2 linked regions of the Rattus norvegicus genome follow. The protein of the gene in region 1 purifies or fractionates together with the protein of each later gene. This does not show direct contact. Links are inferred from orthologs where the notes say so. Each region holds a gene or a part of one and is shown on either strand. Other genes may lie near its edges.

The links. The genes of interacting proteins can lie anywhere in the genome.
Region 2: the proteins of Josd2 (region 1) and Ahcyl1 purify together in Homo sapiens (affinity purification with mass spectrometry; 4 studies listed by BioGRID and IntAct, counting the BioPlex papers as one, with this or other methods). This does not show direct contact. The link is inferred for Rattus norvegicus from reciprocal best matches to the Homo sapiens genes JOSD2 and AHCYL1.

What each region holds. Positions count from the first base shown.
Region 1 is NC_086019.1:104,095,006-104,101,976, reverse strand, and holds Josd2 (josephin-2), read right to left. Parts: upstream 4,418-6,971; 5' UTR 4,340-4,417; coding exon of another isoform or gene 4,298-4,339; intron 4,136-4,297; coding exon of another isoform or gene 4,078-4,135; intron 3,698-4,077; coding exon of another isoform or gene 3,681-3,697; coding exon 3,535-3,680; exon of another isoform or gene 3,491-3,534; intron 1,930-3,490; coding exon 1,804-1,929; intron 1,254-1,803; coding exon 1,059-1,253; intron 953-1,058; coding exon 853-952; 3' UTR 706-852; downstream 1-705. Other genes in the region: Aspdh (aspartate dehydrogenase domain-containing protein), read right to left, coding at 4,799-4,842, 5,148-5,302, 5,376-5,596, 5,675-5,824, 5,914-5,998, 6,233-6,377, 6,911-6,971. UniProt on the Homo sapiens protein: Cleaves 'Lys-63'-linked poly-ubiquitin chains, and with lesser efficiency 'Lys-48'-linked poly-ubiquitin chains (in vitro). May act as a deubiquitinating enzyme.
Region 2 is NC_086020.1:197,979,845-197,986,483, forward strand, and holds the end of Ahcyl1 (S-adenosylhomocysteine hydrolase-like protein 1), read right to left. Parts: intron 5,003-6,639; coding exon of another isoform or gene 4,878-5,002; exon of another isoform or gene 4,476-4,877; coding exon 4,372-4,475; 3' UTR 2,500-4,371; downstream 1-2,499. UniProt on the Homo sapiens protein: Multifaceted cellular regulator which coordinates several essential cellular functions including regulation of epithelial HCO3(-) and fluid secretion, mRNA processing and DNA replication.

The sequences.
Region 1 (6,971 bases):
ATGACAGAAGGGCTGCAGAACCCTGGGTGACTTCTGAGTTTGGGGCCTCAAGTCTAGCAGGCTCTCGACCTTGGCTTGGGTGACGGTGACAGAGACATCCCTCCTTGCTCCACTTGTAGGCTTGGTGCCTCAGGAGAATATCCCTCCAACCACCCTAGTCTGTCCCTCACCTGCCTCGAGGCTGAGCCCGAATGGCCCTACACAGGGGGCCCGGCACACCCTGAGAAAATAACAGCCACTGTGCCAGCGTCCTGTGGCTGCTGTGGGGAGTGTCTAAGCCACTGTCACAGCAATAGATAAATACCTCACTGCTGACTCTCTTCCTCTGGAGGTCAGAAATCCTGAATGGGCTCTGCTGGGCTGGCCTCCTTTTGCTTTTAAGGACCCCATGACTTCACCCAGCGACCCACCACATGCAGGACCTTTGTTCCTGAGGGGAGCCGATTACAGCCAGTCCTATCAGCTGCCCAGCTCCTTCTGCACCCGGGAAGTCAGGGGACAGGTCAGAGGCTGCTGGACTCATGGTCATCTTTGGGGACTACTGTCCTGCCTGCCTTCTCACTGAAGGTCTAAACCTTAAAGTGGAGTGGTCCCTGCTTCAGCTTATTTCATTCTGATTTTGGGAGGCGACATGTTGGTTTCTGTGTCCATATGGGCATGGGCCTGTGACCAAGAGCAACCCCAGGAGCTGAGCCCAGGCAGGGATAACAAAAGAGCAGATTTATTGAGGCAGCAGTGGTCAGGGGAGCGGGGACACTGGGGCAGGACAGGCCTCCTGAGGCCTGAAGTTACAGGTTCTTTTCAGGCACTGGACACAGGAACGGCAGCAGGCAACCCTTCCCAGGCAGTACATCAGCTTGTGTGCAGCCAGCAGCCAGCCTCCTCCACCTCCTTGGTCACCACCAATAGCACCTCGCACAGGCCTTGAGCCAAGGCAGCTGCCAGGAAGGCTCTGAGGGGAAAGTGGGAAGACTGAGGTCTCAGCAGCCCAGGCAGGTCCATCTCCCTGCAGGGCAGTTCCAGTGTTGTCCCATCCTGTCACTGCCTTCACCACTCACCTGACACCATCCTCGCCCCCCAGGGCTTCAGGTGCCCGTAGCTTTGAGTCCAGATTATAGTAGATGCCGTCCACCTGGCGCAGGGCCACCCAGTGTCGCCGGCGCAGCGGCAGGGACAGCAGCCCCAGCGACACAGGAGAGGGTAGGTTCAAGATCAGGCCTAGTACCTGGGGCAGGACCAGCTGGGACAGGGGTCTGAGGAGGGGAGGGATACAGCATGAGGCCCCAGAGACTGAGGTCTGGGTTGTGGGTCACAGAGGCACTTGGAACCTGCCTCCTTCCCCAGAATGACTGACTGTCTATTCACCCACTGACCTATTACCCTCTACCTGTCAACTCCAGCTTCCATTTGTTTAGGCAGGGTCTCAGGTGTCCCAGATGTGCAGCACTACAGCAGGTTATAGAGTAGGAATCCTGACCTCGTATCTGCTGGGTTGGCCTTCTGCCAATGCAGCCCCAGCTCCTCAACTTTTTGTTGTTGGCCCCTTTGAGCCAGGATCTCCACATGCAGTCCAGGCTGGCTCCACTGCTCTTGACCTAACGTATGCCTTTCCCACCTTAATCATGAGTTGCTCATTTAGATACCCTTTTGACTGGTACCAAGTTTATAAGTTTAACCCACCATTCAGTCAGACCCCATCTGTCATAGCCTCCCTGGCAAAACCCCTCCCCTGTCTACCTTCAAGCCACCCTCTGTGTCATCCCACACGCCCAGAGCCAGCGCAGCCCACTGCCTAGGCCCTACCTCCTCCTGTCCCACCACACAGCGGCCAGGCCCAGGCCCTGCAGGGCAGCCATGATCACGTTGACATCATAGTTGCCGGTGCCCAAGAGACTGCGATGGGGGTTCAGCCGGGAATCTGGGGCTAGCCTGGGGGTGAGGGGGCAGAGCCAAGGTTTGAAATCCTGGAAAGGCCTCCACCTTCCCACATAATAGGAGAGGCCCATAGCCTAGCCTTTGACGCTTCTCTCTTCAACCCCCATACAGCTTATCAGGCCTTGAATCCTGTCCTTCCTCCACCCCCCGAGCCCTGCACTCTTGGACTGGCTGAAGCTTTTATCTTTTCCAACTCAGAAACCCTTCCCAGCCTCTAGTCTCTCCCTCCAGCCCACCTCTGACCTCCAGAAGCCCTGAGCTGCCCTGCCCCCTTCCTACTTCCACTTCTCTATGACTCCCAAGTACCCTGGACAAAGTCCCTGCCCCTCCATCCTTCCCACTCATGGTCTCTCTCCAGACCAGTGTCAGATGTCATTTCTTCTGGGAGAGGAGCCTTCAGACTGTGCTCAGAGTCCCTGGGTGACAGAGCCACTCATACCACCATATCTGAAAACAGAGAGCCTCTTTCTTTTGGTAATACCCTGCCCTACCCTGCTCAGAGCCCTCCCTAGTGCCCCATCGTCCCAGGACACACTCCCACCTCCTCCAGTGGCAAGTAGGCCTTACATAGTCTCAGTACCAGCTCTTAGCAGCCACCTGTCTCCAGCTGTCCCTTGTGCCCAAGCCTTCCCTCTAGCTCTCCCCAGCTCTGTGGCCCTGTTCCTCTGTAGGTCTGGACCCTCGGTGAGCAGTGTCAGGAGGGAACCAATCATGTCTGCAGCTTCTCCTTTCAGTACATCTGCCTCAGCTCTAGCTGTTCAGCATGCCCCTGGACAAAGAGCTGGTGCAGGGGAAATGAGTATCTTCTAAAGTTTGAGGATAAGGTCTGCCTCTGGGTGTGGGCATGGACTACAGCCTGGGGTGTCTGTGTGCCCATAGAAGTACCCTGTGGCCTAGTGGTTGGAATGGGGAGATTCTTAAGAACGTTTCTTAAGAAAGTGATGACTAGGGCTGGAGAGATGGCTCAGTGGTTAAGAGCACCGACTGCTCTTCCTGAGGTCCTGAGTTCAAATCCCAGCAACCACATGGTGGCTCACAACCATCTGTAATGAGATCTGATGCCCTATTCTGGTGTGTCTGAAGGCAGCTACAGTGTACTCATATACAATAAATAAAATCTTTAAAAAAAAAAAAAAAAAGAAAGTGATGACTAAAACTATGACCAAGAAGAAAAAAAAAAAAAAAGCCTTGTGTAACAGGGGAACAGCCTGGTTGGGGCCTAGGAGAGCAGTTTAGATGAAACTGCAGAAAGGCAGACAAAGACCAGAGCACCCAAGGCCTTGGAGTTCAGCCTGAAGGCCCTGGGCTACTCCCTAAGAGGGCTGGGGAGCCAAAGAGGGGTAGAAGCAGAAGAGGGGGCAGGCAGTTGGGGGGCTGTGTGTAGGATGGGTAGGAGGAGAAAAACAGACAGCTGGGAGGTTGTGACAGAGGCTCAGAGAAGAGAGGTTGAGGCCAAAGCTGGGGCTGAGGTTTTGAGAAGCAGCAGGTGGGAGAGCAGGTGGAAGAGCAGGCAACAGCTCCTGGATCTGAGCCCTTGGCCCCCCTATAGGCGTGCCTCTTGGAGCTCTGCTCTTCCAGGGCCAGGCTAATGGCAGTCACCTCTTGCAGATTTCGTCGGCAGCTTCCTGGCTAAAGAGCTGCTCTTGGAGGACGTTGTTGAGAGCATGAACGGCACACAGCTCTAGCCGCTGCCGCTCGTGATACACTGAGGGTGATCTTGGTCTCGCTTCCGGCGCCTGAGACATGCCCTCCTCAGCTCCTGCTAGGGGTGGGACAAGGAGGTGTTAGGCACCTAGGATCTTGGTCATCCGGGTCTCTAGATTCCTGTGTCCCTATGCAATGGCCATTGAGGTGGGCACTGCTGCTAGCTTAAAAGGACGCAAGGCCTTGTTCCTAGGCTGTCTCCAGAGCACAGAGACACCTTTAGAGCCCAGTCCTGGGGTGGGTGGTGTATAGACTCCTATCTGCTGTCCTGGCAATAGAGACCCACCCCCACTACATGTCTCCAAGCAAAAGGGTCTGGATCATCATCACCTAGCAACGGACTATCGCCCCTTCTGTCCCTAGGAAACAATACCTTTTTGGTTCCCAAGCAACAGAACAACCCCACCCGCCTGGTAACCCGGTCCGTTTTCTGATCACCTAGCAATGGAGGACTCCTCCTTTCTCGTCTCTGGGTAACAGGGTCTCTTCTGGTCGCCTAGCAACGAAAGACTTCCCCTTGTCAATAACCAGGGTTCTCTCCTCCCTTCACCTGACAAGGCCCTCTCCCAGTCACTAAGCAACAGGAACTCCCCCTCCTGTCACCTGGCAACCAGGCACGCTCCCACCCTACTTTGCTCGGCGCCCGCCTGGCCCTCACCCCGCCGGCCTTTCCGCTCCCTGGGACCGGCCGCTTTCGCATTCCCTAGGCGGCTTTCGGGTGGTACCACGCTGACTGAGCAGGCGGAACGGACTACAGCTCCCGGCAACTTGCGCGCGCCGGACTGCGATTCCCGAAGGCCTCCGTAGGGCGACTAAATAGAACGCTCAGTCCGGAAGTCCGCCGGGGCCGCTCTGCCACATGGGACTACAACTCCCATCGGACGGCGCAGCCCTTTCTGGTTCTCTCTCAGGACCCACTGCTGCCTAGAGGTTCCTGGGAGATGTAGTAACCAATGATCTCGCGATAGCTTTCAGGGGGCTGGTTTGTGTATGAGCTCACACGCTGCTGCTATGGCGTCATACACGGTGTGTAGCCGAAGCGTGACGACATGGAGGTGGGGACAAGGAACCAAAGAGGCCAAAGAGAACAGCGGGCAGAATTCTGATGTTTACTGGGACCCATAGTAGTCAAGGTGACAGCAAGGGTAGGGGAGGAAACTCAGCAGAGGCGGATCCCAGGTCTGGAGGGAAGCTGACAGCAGCCTGTGGGGAGAATGAAAAACTAGGATGACAACACAGACACATGCAGGTGGCCATGGTGAACGTGGGTTTTGAAAATGGTAATGTGGTACAACCCAAAGAGGATACTCAGAGATGTACCTTGTGGGTAGAGAGACCTAGAGGGGGACCCAGACGCTGAGAAAAAGCGGGGCGGGGAAAGAGAGGCTCATAAAGCCTGGGAGTGAGAACTAAGGATGGGCAAAGACAGAAAACTGGGGTGGGACACCCAACACGTGAGTTCTGCAGAGCACAAACGCCAAGGGACCGTTGGAGGGGCCTGGCCGCACCCAGTAAGCTGTGCCAGAAGGCTGTAACAGTAGCGGAGCCAGTGACAGCGCCAGGCTGGGCTGGGTTCTCTCTGTGGGTGTGCACGGCAAAGCTGCGGCCTGTGGGCCCTGGGGGGCCTGTCAGCTCCACATCCACCACATGCATGTCGGTGAGGCTGCAGTCAGCAGAGAAGAGCAGTCAGTTCATCCTGAGTGTACACAGCTATGCCACCTACTCCCTTTGCTCACCTAAGGTCAGCCACAAGCACCCCAATGACACGATCAAAGCCTAGACTGGGAGCGGCCAGGGCAGCGGCTGCCATGGTGTTGGAGTTTCGGGGGGCCAAGGGGCAGAGCCCACGCACAGGGCCCTCATAGAGCACTGTGCGGGGCCCACTACTATGTGCGGCAGCCAGGGGTCCCTCCAGCCGGAAGCCATCAGGATGTGTGGCCATGGTGACTCGAAGGCTCTGGAAGCAATGGCAGGGTCAGAAGAGTGAGAGAGACTCCTACATGTTCCCTCTGGTTGCAGCCCAGATGGTTCTCACCTGGAGGCCTCCGGCTGCATCCAATCTGCTGATGTCTTCACAACCCCACAGGGCCCCTCGGGCCACAAACACCGTGTGGCCCCAGTGGTTTGAAGCCTCCAGGAGCTGCCGCTCTGTGGTCTGGTCAGCGAGAGCTGAGGGGGATCCCACCTTGGGACAAGGCCAAGATCCAGATCACTGCTGGAGGGTGGGATGCAGCCAGCACAGGGAGGGACTCACTGAGGGGTGAGGAGGCTCACCAGAAGGTTTGCATGACGGAGGATTTGTACCCCAGATTCATGGATTATTTTTGGATGGGCCACTTCTACCACAAGGTCAGGGTGCCTGGGAAGAAAGACATGGAGGGGGAGGGCCTGGAGAAGAATCAGGTCTCCCGTCTCCTAGGCTCCTCAGGGTTTGCAGGAACATCAGTGCTCATCCTGACTTGGAAGGGACGTGGGATGGTGGGTGCATTCTAGTTTATTTGTATGTGCACTGAGACTCAGAAAGGGTCAAAGAGTTATATGACACAGAGAGGCAGAAGCAGCTTTGGGAAGGCTCCTTCTGTGGGCCACTGACCTTTCCTCAAGTGTAGTGAGGTCTTCGAGCTGCAGGGCAGGGGGCACACTCCCTGCCATTCGTCCAGGGTCACGGTTCCACACAAAAACAAGTTCTAGGCCCAGTTCTGATCCCTGAGCCAGAAGGCGGGACACAAGGGACTGTCCTGCAGAGAAGGGAGGGCTAGAGAGACCCAAGAAAAGGACAGAGACTCCCCAAGTCAGGGAGATGGAGTGGGGGAACAGAGACCCAGAAAGAGACATACAGAATACACAGAAGCCCAGAGAGGAGAGATGGACAGACACATAGACAGAATACATAGAAACCTAGAGAGCTGGGGAGATACAGATTCACCCCCACCACCACATACACACAGAGACACAGAAACAGAGACAGAGACCTAGAAGACAAATACCACACACACACACACACACACACACACACACACACACGCACGCACACATGCACGCACACAGATGAGAGCAAGAGGAAAGGCAGAAATGGGAGAGAGAGGGAGAAGGAGGAAAGAAGGGAGGGAGGGAGGGAGGCAGAGAGAAGAAGGAGGGAGGGAGGGAGGCCCAATGAGTGGGCAGAAGGCAGGCTAGGCTGGCAGGCTGGGGTGAAAGATATGTGGGAGCAGAGATGTTTCTAGAACTTTAGGAACAGGGGCATAGAAGGAGGCCCCAGGCTAGCTCTTACCGAGGCGGCCATAGCCCACCACCCCCACCTTGTGAGGAACTCGAGGGACCATACTAGCGTC
Region 2 (6,639 bases), on another chromosome or scaffold:
TGTTTAGCCGGCTAGCGGCACTGTAGGGTTAGGGTAGGTAAGCTTTGCATGGGAAAAAATGTCTCAAGAGACCACTTCCATGTTCACAGGGATCTTAAGAACAAAGAGCCAGACGTGGATGTGGTGGCAAACCCAGCAACTAGCCAGACTTCTGTCTGAGGCTTCTGGGAAGCATTATTTATCATCATCATCACCATCATCACATCAACATCATTTTATTTCTCTCTCCATTCTGTGACAAGACACCAGGCAGAAGCAACATAAGGAAAGACTGATCTCCACTCATGGCTTCAGTCCAACACCTAGGCACCTTGTCAGAACACATGACAGAGAAGTGCCTGCTATCTTGGCAAATTACCCCAAAGGTTTGCTACAGTCACTCACAGACAATAACTAGAGCTCATGCCCCAAAGGTTTTGCCATCTCCCGACATAGTGCTACCAGCTACAGAGCCAGTGTTCAGACACACAAGCCTATGGGGAAAGTCCAAACTGTAACAGGTGAGGAGGATGTAGACAGTATTATTTCATCATTTGTGTGTTAGGGAGAACTGGGATAACCTGATTTAGAAAGAGGTTAATTCAGGGTGATGTGGGCTAGGGTGACTTGCAACAGAAAAGCCAGTTAAGAAAAACTAGAAAACCAAGAGGACTCCCAGGAAGAAGCCTTTACTCATACTACTTTTCTGATAATTGGCTTCTATAGTTCCTTTTGAAGAGACGTCTTCCTAGGGCGACAGGACCAGTTTTTACCTGTGAGCCCTTAAGAGAGATTCACAATAGTGGGAGCAACAAGGATGGGATACACTTTCATTTAGAGTACAGCTGATCAGAGCAAGCCTTCAGGTTTTGTTCTGTGTGAGTGTTCTCTCTGCACGTACTCTTGCATTCCAAGATTCTATTATACAGATCATTGTGAGCCACCACGTGATTACATATCTGATTTTGATGAGCCTCTGGATTTAGACCTTAGAGCTGGTGCTGAAATTAAAACTTGGAACTACTAGATTATTTTCTAGATTAAAAAGCAACCAACTGTGCTGGAGAGATGGCTCAGTGGTTAAAAGCACTGATTGCCCTTCCAGAGGTCCAGAGTTCAATTCCCAGCAACCACATGGTGGCTCACAACCATCTGTAATGAGATCTGATGCCCTCTTCTGGTGTGTCTGAAGAGCTACAATGTACTCATATAATTAAATCTAAAAAAAGAAAAAACCGGGGTTGGGGATTTGGCTCAGAGGTAGAGCGCTTGCCTAGCAACCGCAAGGCCCTGGGTTCGGTCCCCAGCTCCGAAAAAAAGAAAAGACCAACCAACTAACCAATCAAACAACCCATGGATTTTGGAGGCTGGGGCAGAATGCTGTGGCCTGAATGTACTCCTTTCAATTCATTAGTTGAAAATGATTCACCAATGTGATATTACAAATTATTACATCATTTGAATGGAATAGGGTAAGTGTTAGATCTTGATGGATTCTCATTGTGATGATGCCAGTCTTGGAAGCAGAGAACAGCCTGTCATCATTAGTCTGCTGACTACTTCATCCTGGCCATCTCAGCCTCCATGTTGAGAGTACATTTCTGTCCTCTATAGAATGCCCAGTTTCACAAGTTGTTTGATGTGTGTGCATGTATGCAGGTTTACCTACATAAATACGTGTGCATCTGTTGGCCAGAGAATAATCCTAGGTGCAGAATTCTCCTCCTTCAAGACAGGGCAGCTCACTGGCCTGGGGCTCACCAATTAGGCTGCACTGCCTAGCTAGTGAGTGCCAGCAAGCCTCCTTGTCTGTCCCCCCGAGCTGGGACATATGTACAAGTATGTGCCAACACACCCCACAGTTTTTACTTGGGTTCTGGGAAGGAAATTTACGTCCTCATATTTACAAGGCAAGAACTTTTATCAGTTGAGACATCGCCGGCTCTTTTACAGCAGCAAGAATTCAGATCAACATCCATATGCACTAGTCAGCTGTCCATCACGATGGTGAATACCAAAATAATTAACTCATAAAGATAAAAATATTTTGGCTTATGGTGCTGAAGGCAGGTTTCAGTTCATGACTGACTGGCCACATTACTTTGGGTCTATGTCAGGCAGAACAGTAAGACAAAAATTCAAGGTGGAAACAAAACTGCTCACCTCACTGCTAGGACATAAAAACAACAGTGGGCGATGGCATACCATTCCTTTCAAGGTCACACTTCCAGTGACCTAAGCACCTCTCATTAGGTCCTATCTCCTAAAGGCTCCAGTGCCACTCAACAGTGACCTACACACAGATTGCAACTCGAGACATTAATGATAGTTGGGTGCACTGGTGTAATGCTATAGTCCCAGCTACTGGGAAGATTGAGTCAGGATGACTTGATCCAAGAAGTCTGAGGCCAGCTTACATAAGACAGACCTTGTCTTCAAATGGCTTATCTCAACCTAGGAAACAGTCTAATGAAGTTTTGCTATTTAACCAAAAAAGACACAGGACTACCATTATGTCTTATCACTTTTAATTGACTTTAATGATTATTGCTCATCTGCAAGGATTAATATTGCATTCATTAAAAATCATTCAATACAAAATGAATATTTTCCTCCCAAGTTGGTCTCCAAATGTTCCCTCTGATGCCAGACATTTTCCAGTGTCCTTTGTTACATGGCTTGACAGAGACTAGCCCTTACCTATTATTCCTATGGACACAGTAATAGATAGGACCAGAGGGCAGATTAGAGGGCAGCAGGAACTTGGCCCCTTCCCTCCAGTAGAGCTGACCAGATGAATACACTGCTGTTAGCCAAGATAAGGCCCTACTGAGTGTGGTGTTCTGATTGGATGGTTAAGTGCCTTAGGAAAGGGGTCTTCAAATGTTAGTATCTATAGAGAAGAAAGCATGATCACATTGGAAAGGAGCAGGAAGGGGCTGGGTACAGAGAAATGGGAGATGAAAGGGAAAAAAGTTTTGGCAAGATAATTGTTCCCTGCAAGGAAGGTGCAGGGTAAAAGCTTTCCTTTCTTGTATTTCTGTTTTTAATGCCTGTTTCTCTGATCAGTGAAAGAGAGAAGTAAACATTTCCAGTATCTATCATTAACACATAACCCATCTTTGAAGGATCACAAGCTAGAACACGCTGAGGACTTAAAATCCCGGATAATTATATACCTAAAGCTTGAGCTTGAAGCTCGTTTGACCATGCAGAGATGCTGGCAAGCGGGTGCGTGGCCTGGGAATAAGTCTCTCTGATTTTAGAGGGTCTCTTGGAATTCTCTTAGAGCATGAATCAGGATGTACTTTCTCCACCAAGTCTTTAAGATCTCAGTTTACAATTTTTATTTTCTATTTTTGTGGCAAGTGTCAATCAAAAGTGGCACCATGTCTATAAAACTAACAGCAGACAAGGTCTCCAGCTCTGAACAGATTATACAGTTATATTTGTTTCACCTTGGCCCAATTTGTCATTCTTTCTTCCATCTATGCAAACTTCCCTTCAAACAGTTTAGGTTGCAGAAGCACAGCTGCCCACAGGTTTGCTCTGAAAGGATAAACCCTAAGGACAGGGCTCAGTGTTTTATACTGAGTAATGGCTCAAGAAATCGGCCGTCAGCATAAGCTGCGTGAGGCAGAGCTGAGAAGTTTTGCTTATGGCTCCAGTTCACTGACACTATAAACTATGAGCTGGAAACATCAGAGTCTGAGGCTAGCATTTTTCTAGCCTCAACTCTTGACACTTTGCTTCAAAGGTTCAAAAGAGATATTGGTAACTAACCACCTGAGCTGTTCCTCAGGATTAACACTAAAATTTTTCCTTAATTAAAAGAAACAAAACAAATAAATGCTAAGGGACAAAATTCAACTTGATAGAATGCAGTTTAGTTAAAACTAGAACAATGAGAGAGACTGGTGGAAGGGCTGAACTACAAATCCGAGTGAGCCTACGGAGTTTAACAGCACACATCTCTGCAGACACGCCATCTTAGACAGGAAACGGCTTAGAGCGTCTGTCTACGGGAAGTTGACATGCACCACCTACGTCTAACCTACCTGGCTGGAGCCATCCTGGCTCCTCTGAAGAAGTAAAGAGCACTAGTTCCAGCAGCTAGAACAGTCTCTTTTAAGGCAATTTAGACACTGTAGATTGTTCCACACAGAAGATGCCTTAGCATTTTCTGTTAATATGGTAACTAAATGCGATCAAAGTCCCCAGAAATGGTTAAAGAATTGACTTTCTGGGCTGCAGAATTAACCCCTTTTAGTGACTAAAGGTGAGAAACCTTTGACCTCAGTTTCACCTAAACAGCCATGGAGCAAGTTCCTGTGTGGTCTGCAAAACTCAAATGATGAGATGAGAAAAAAAATGAAATTATAGAAAAAAAAATCAAAAGGAAAGTAATAAGAAGAAAATAAAAGTTATCTTAAAAAATACTCTATTAGAGTTGCGTGGTTCGTGTGGACTGGTCATTGTAATACGTCCATTAGTATCTGAAAAGAGAGAGATGGGCCTGTTAACGTACTTTCTGAGATCAACACAGCATCTTCCCAAGCTTCCTCCCAGCCCAAACTGGGGGCATTCCTGCGTGGGTTCCTCCTGAGGTGAGGCTCACCTTCTAAGACCTTAAGACACTTAGCTCCTTACATCTATTGGTGGATTCACACTTTCTCTGACTACCTTGCTAATTTGGTTTTCTGTAGAGGTGGGGACTGAACCTCACTATACTAGGCAAGCACGCAATCCTGAATAACCCAGTCATTCCTGCTAACCTGCAGTGGTGGCCTTATACTCTTAGGTATCACACATGACACGTATCTTTACTGAAGAAACCTGGCTAGACTAGACTGGCTGGTCTAATATTGGGGAAGAACTTTTCATTGCTTTCTTCCAAGTTACCTGTAATAATTAGGTTTGAATGGCCCATTTTTGTTGAGTCCCAGATATTTTGCTTGGTCATCTGTCAGCTCTGTGAGGTGGGCATCAAATGATGGCAGGTGCAAGCTGGCAACATACTCATCTGGGAAGAGAAGAGCAGTAAGGGCAGGAGGCTTCTTGTCAGACAGGCCGTTAGGGCACAGCCTCCCTCCTATTTTCATTTCTTAAAACTACTCAGGAAGAGCAGTGGAACAACCCTGAACGAATCCACAACCTGAAATATGTGTTTAATTAAGAAAGCTTTCCAAGCTGTATATATAGGAAATGATGTCTTTCAAGCACATATACTGGGCAAGCAGATGGTCATGCACCCGATTGGCGAATGGGTGCCTTGTACTTCCTCCTCAGAGTTTGGCGTCACTTGAGTAGGTACCATGTCACACACTACACCCAGCTTCCTGTGGCAGCCTCCTTAACTATATTAAACCATCATCAAATCATGAACCATAAAGATGAATCTAACACACTTAAAAGAGCCTCCTGTCACTGACATTTATTTAAGACAGGCTCCCTATAGCCACATATTTAGACTGATAAGATTTCTTTTTTTTTTTTTTTTTTTTTTTTTTTGGTTCTTTTTTTCGGAGCTGGGGACCGAACCCAGGGCCTTGCGCTTCCTAGGCAAGCGCTCTACCACTGAGCTAAATCCCCAACCCAAAAGACTCTTATAATTTTTTTTTTTTTTTTTTTGGTTCTTTTTTTTCGGAGCTGGGGACCGAACCCAGGGCCTTGCGCTTCCTAGGCAAGCGCTCTACCACTGAGCTAAATCCCCAACTCCTGATAAGATTTCTAAGGCACATACTAAGTATCGTTCCCTAACTTTTATGAATATGATTTCTTAAAACAACAACAACAACAAACACTACACAGTAGAGACATAATTCAGCAGCTGTTCTTTTAGAAGACCTGGGTTTGATTTCCAGGACTTGTATGTCAGCTTAAACCATCTATAAATCCAGTTCCAGGTATTTGATACCCTCTTCTGGCTTTGACAGGCAACAGGCATGCCTGTGGTCACATATACATGTAGCCAAAACACCCATACACATAAAAAATATACAACAACAACAACAACAACAACAACAGAATATCCAAAAGCAATATAAAATAAGTTAAGAAAAATTTATGTGTATGCATGTTTTCCTGTATGTATATATTTGGACCACATCTGTGCCTGCTGCTCATTGAACCCAGAAGAAGGCACTGAGTCTCTTACCCAGCACAAAATAGTTGTGAGACATTAAATGGGTGCTGGGACCTGAGCCTGGGTCTTCTGCAAAAGTAGCAAGTGTTCTTAACCACTAGCATCTCCCCAATATGCAAGTTTTTTAAGTGTAAAGTCAGACATGTAGGCTGGCTGTAAGTATGGGGCGGGTGTCAGTATAGAGAAAAGCAAAGGACAAGACAGAGTTTATGCCACATGAGCAAAGTGTAAGTGGTCATGAGGCGCATAGGTTGGGTTAGAGGAGGTTTGCCAATCAAGACAACAGATGGATAATACGCCTTGTTTCTGTTTCTCTCACTTTGGTCTAAGCTATAGTTAGTTGCCCTGGGAAGCCTGGTGAGCTTTGGAAGGGTACTTGAGAACAAGAACATCATCCGTATTTAGCTTGGATTCTTACTACAATCCTGTAAACTACACAGTACTATTCTTACCTTACTTCTCACAAAAATGGAGGCTCACATCGCTAATAGAATGTCCCCTGAGGCCAGGCACTA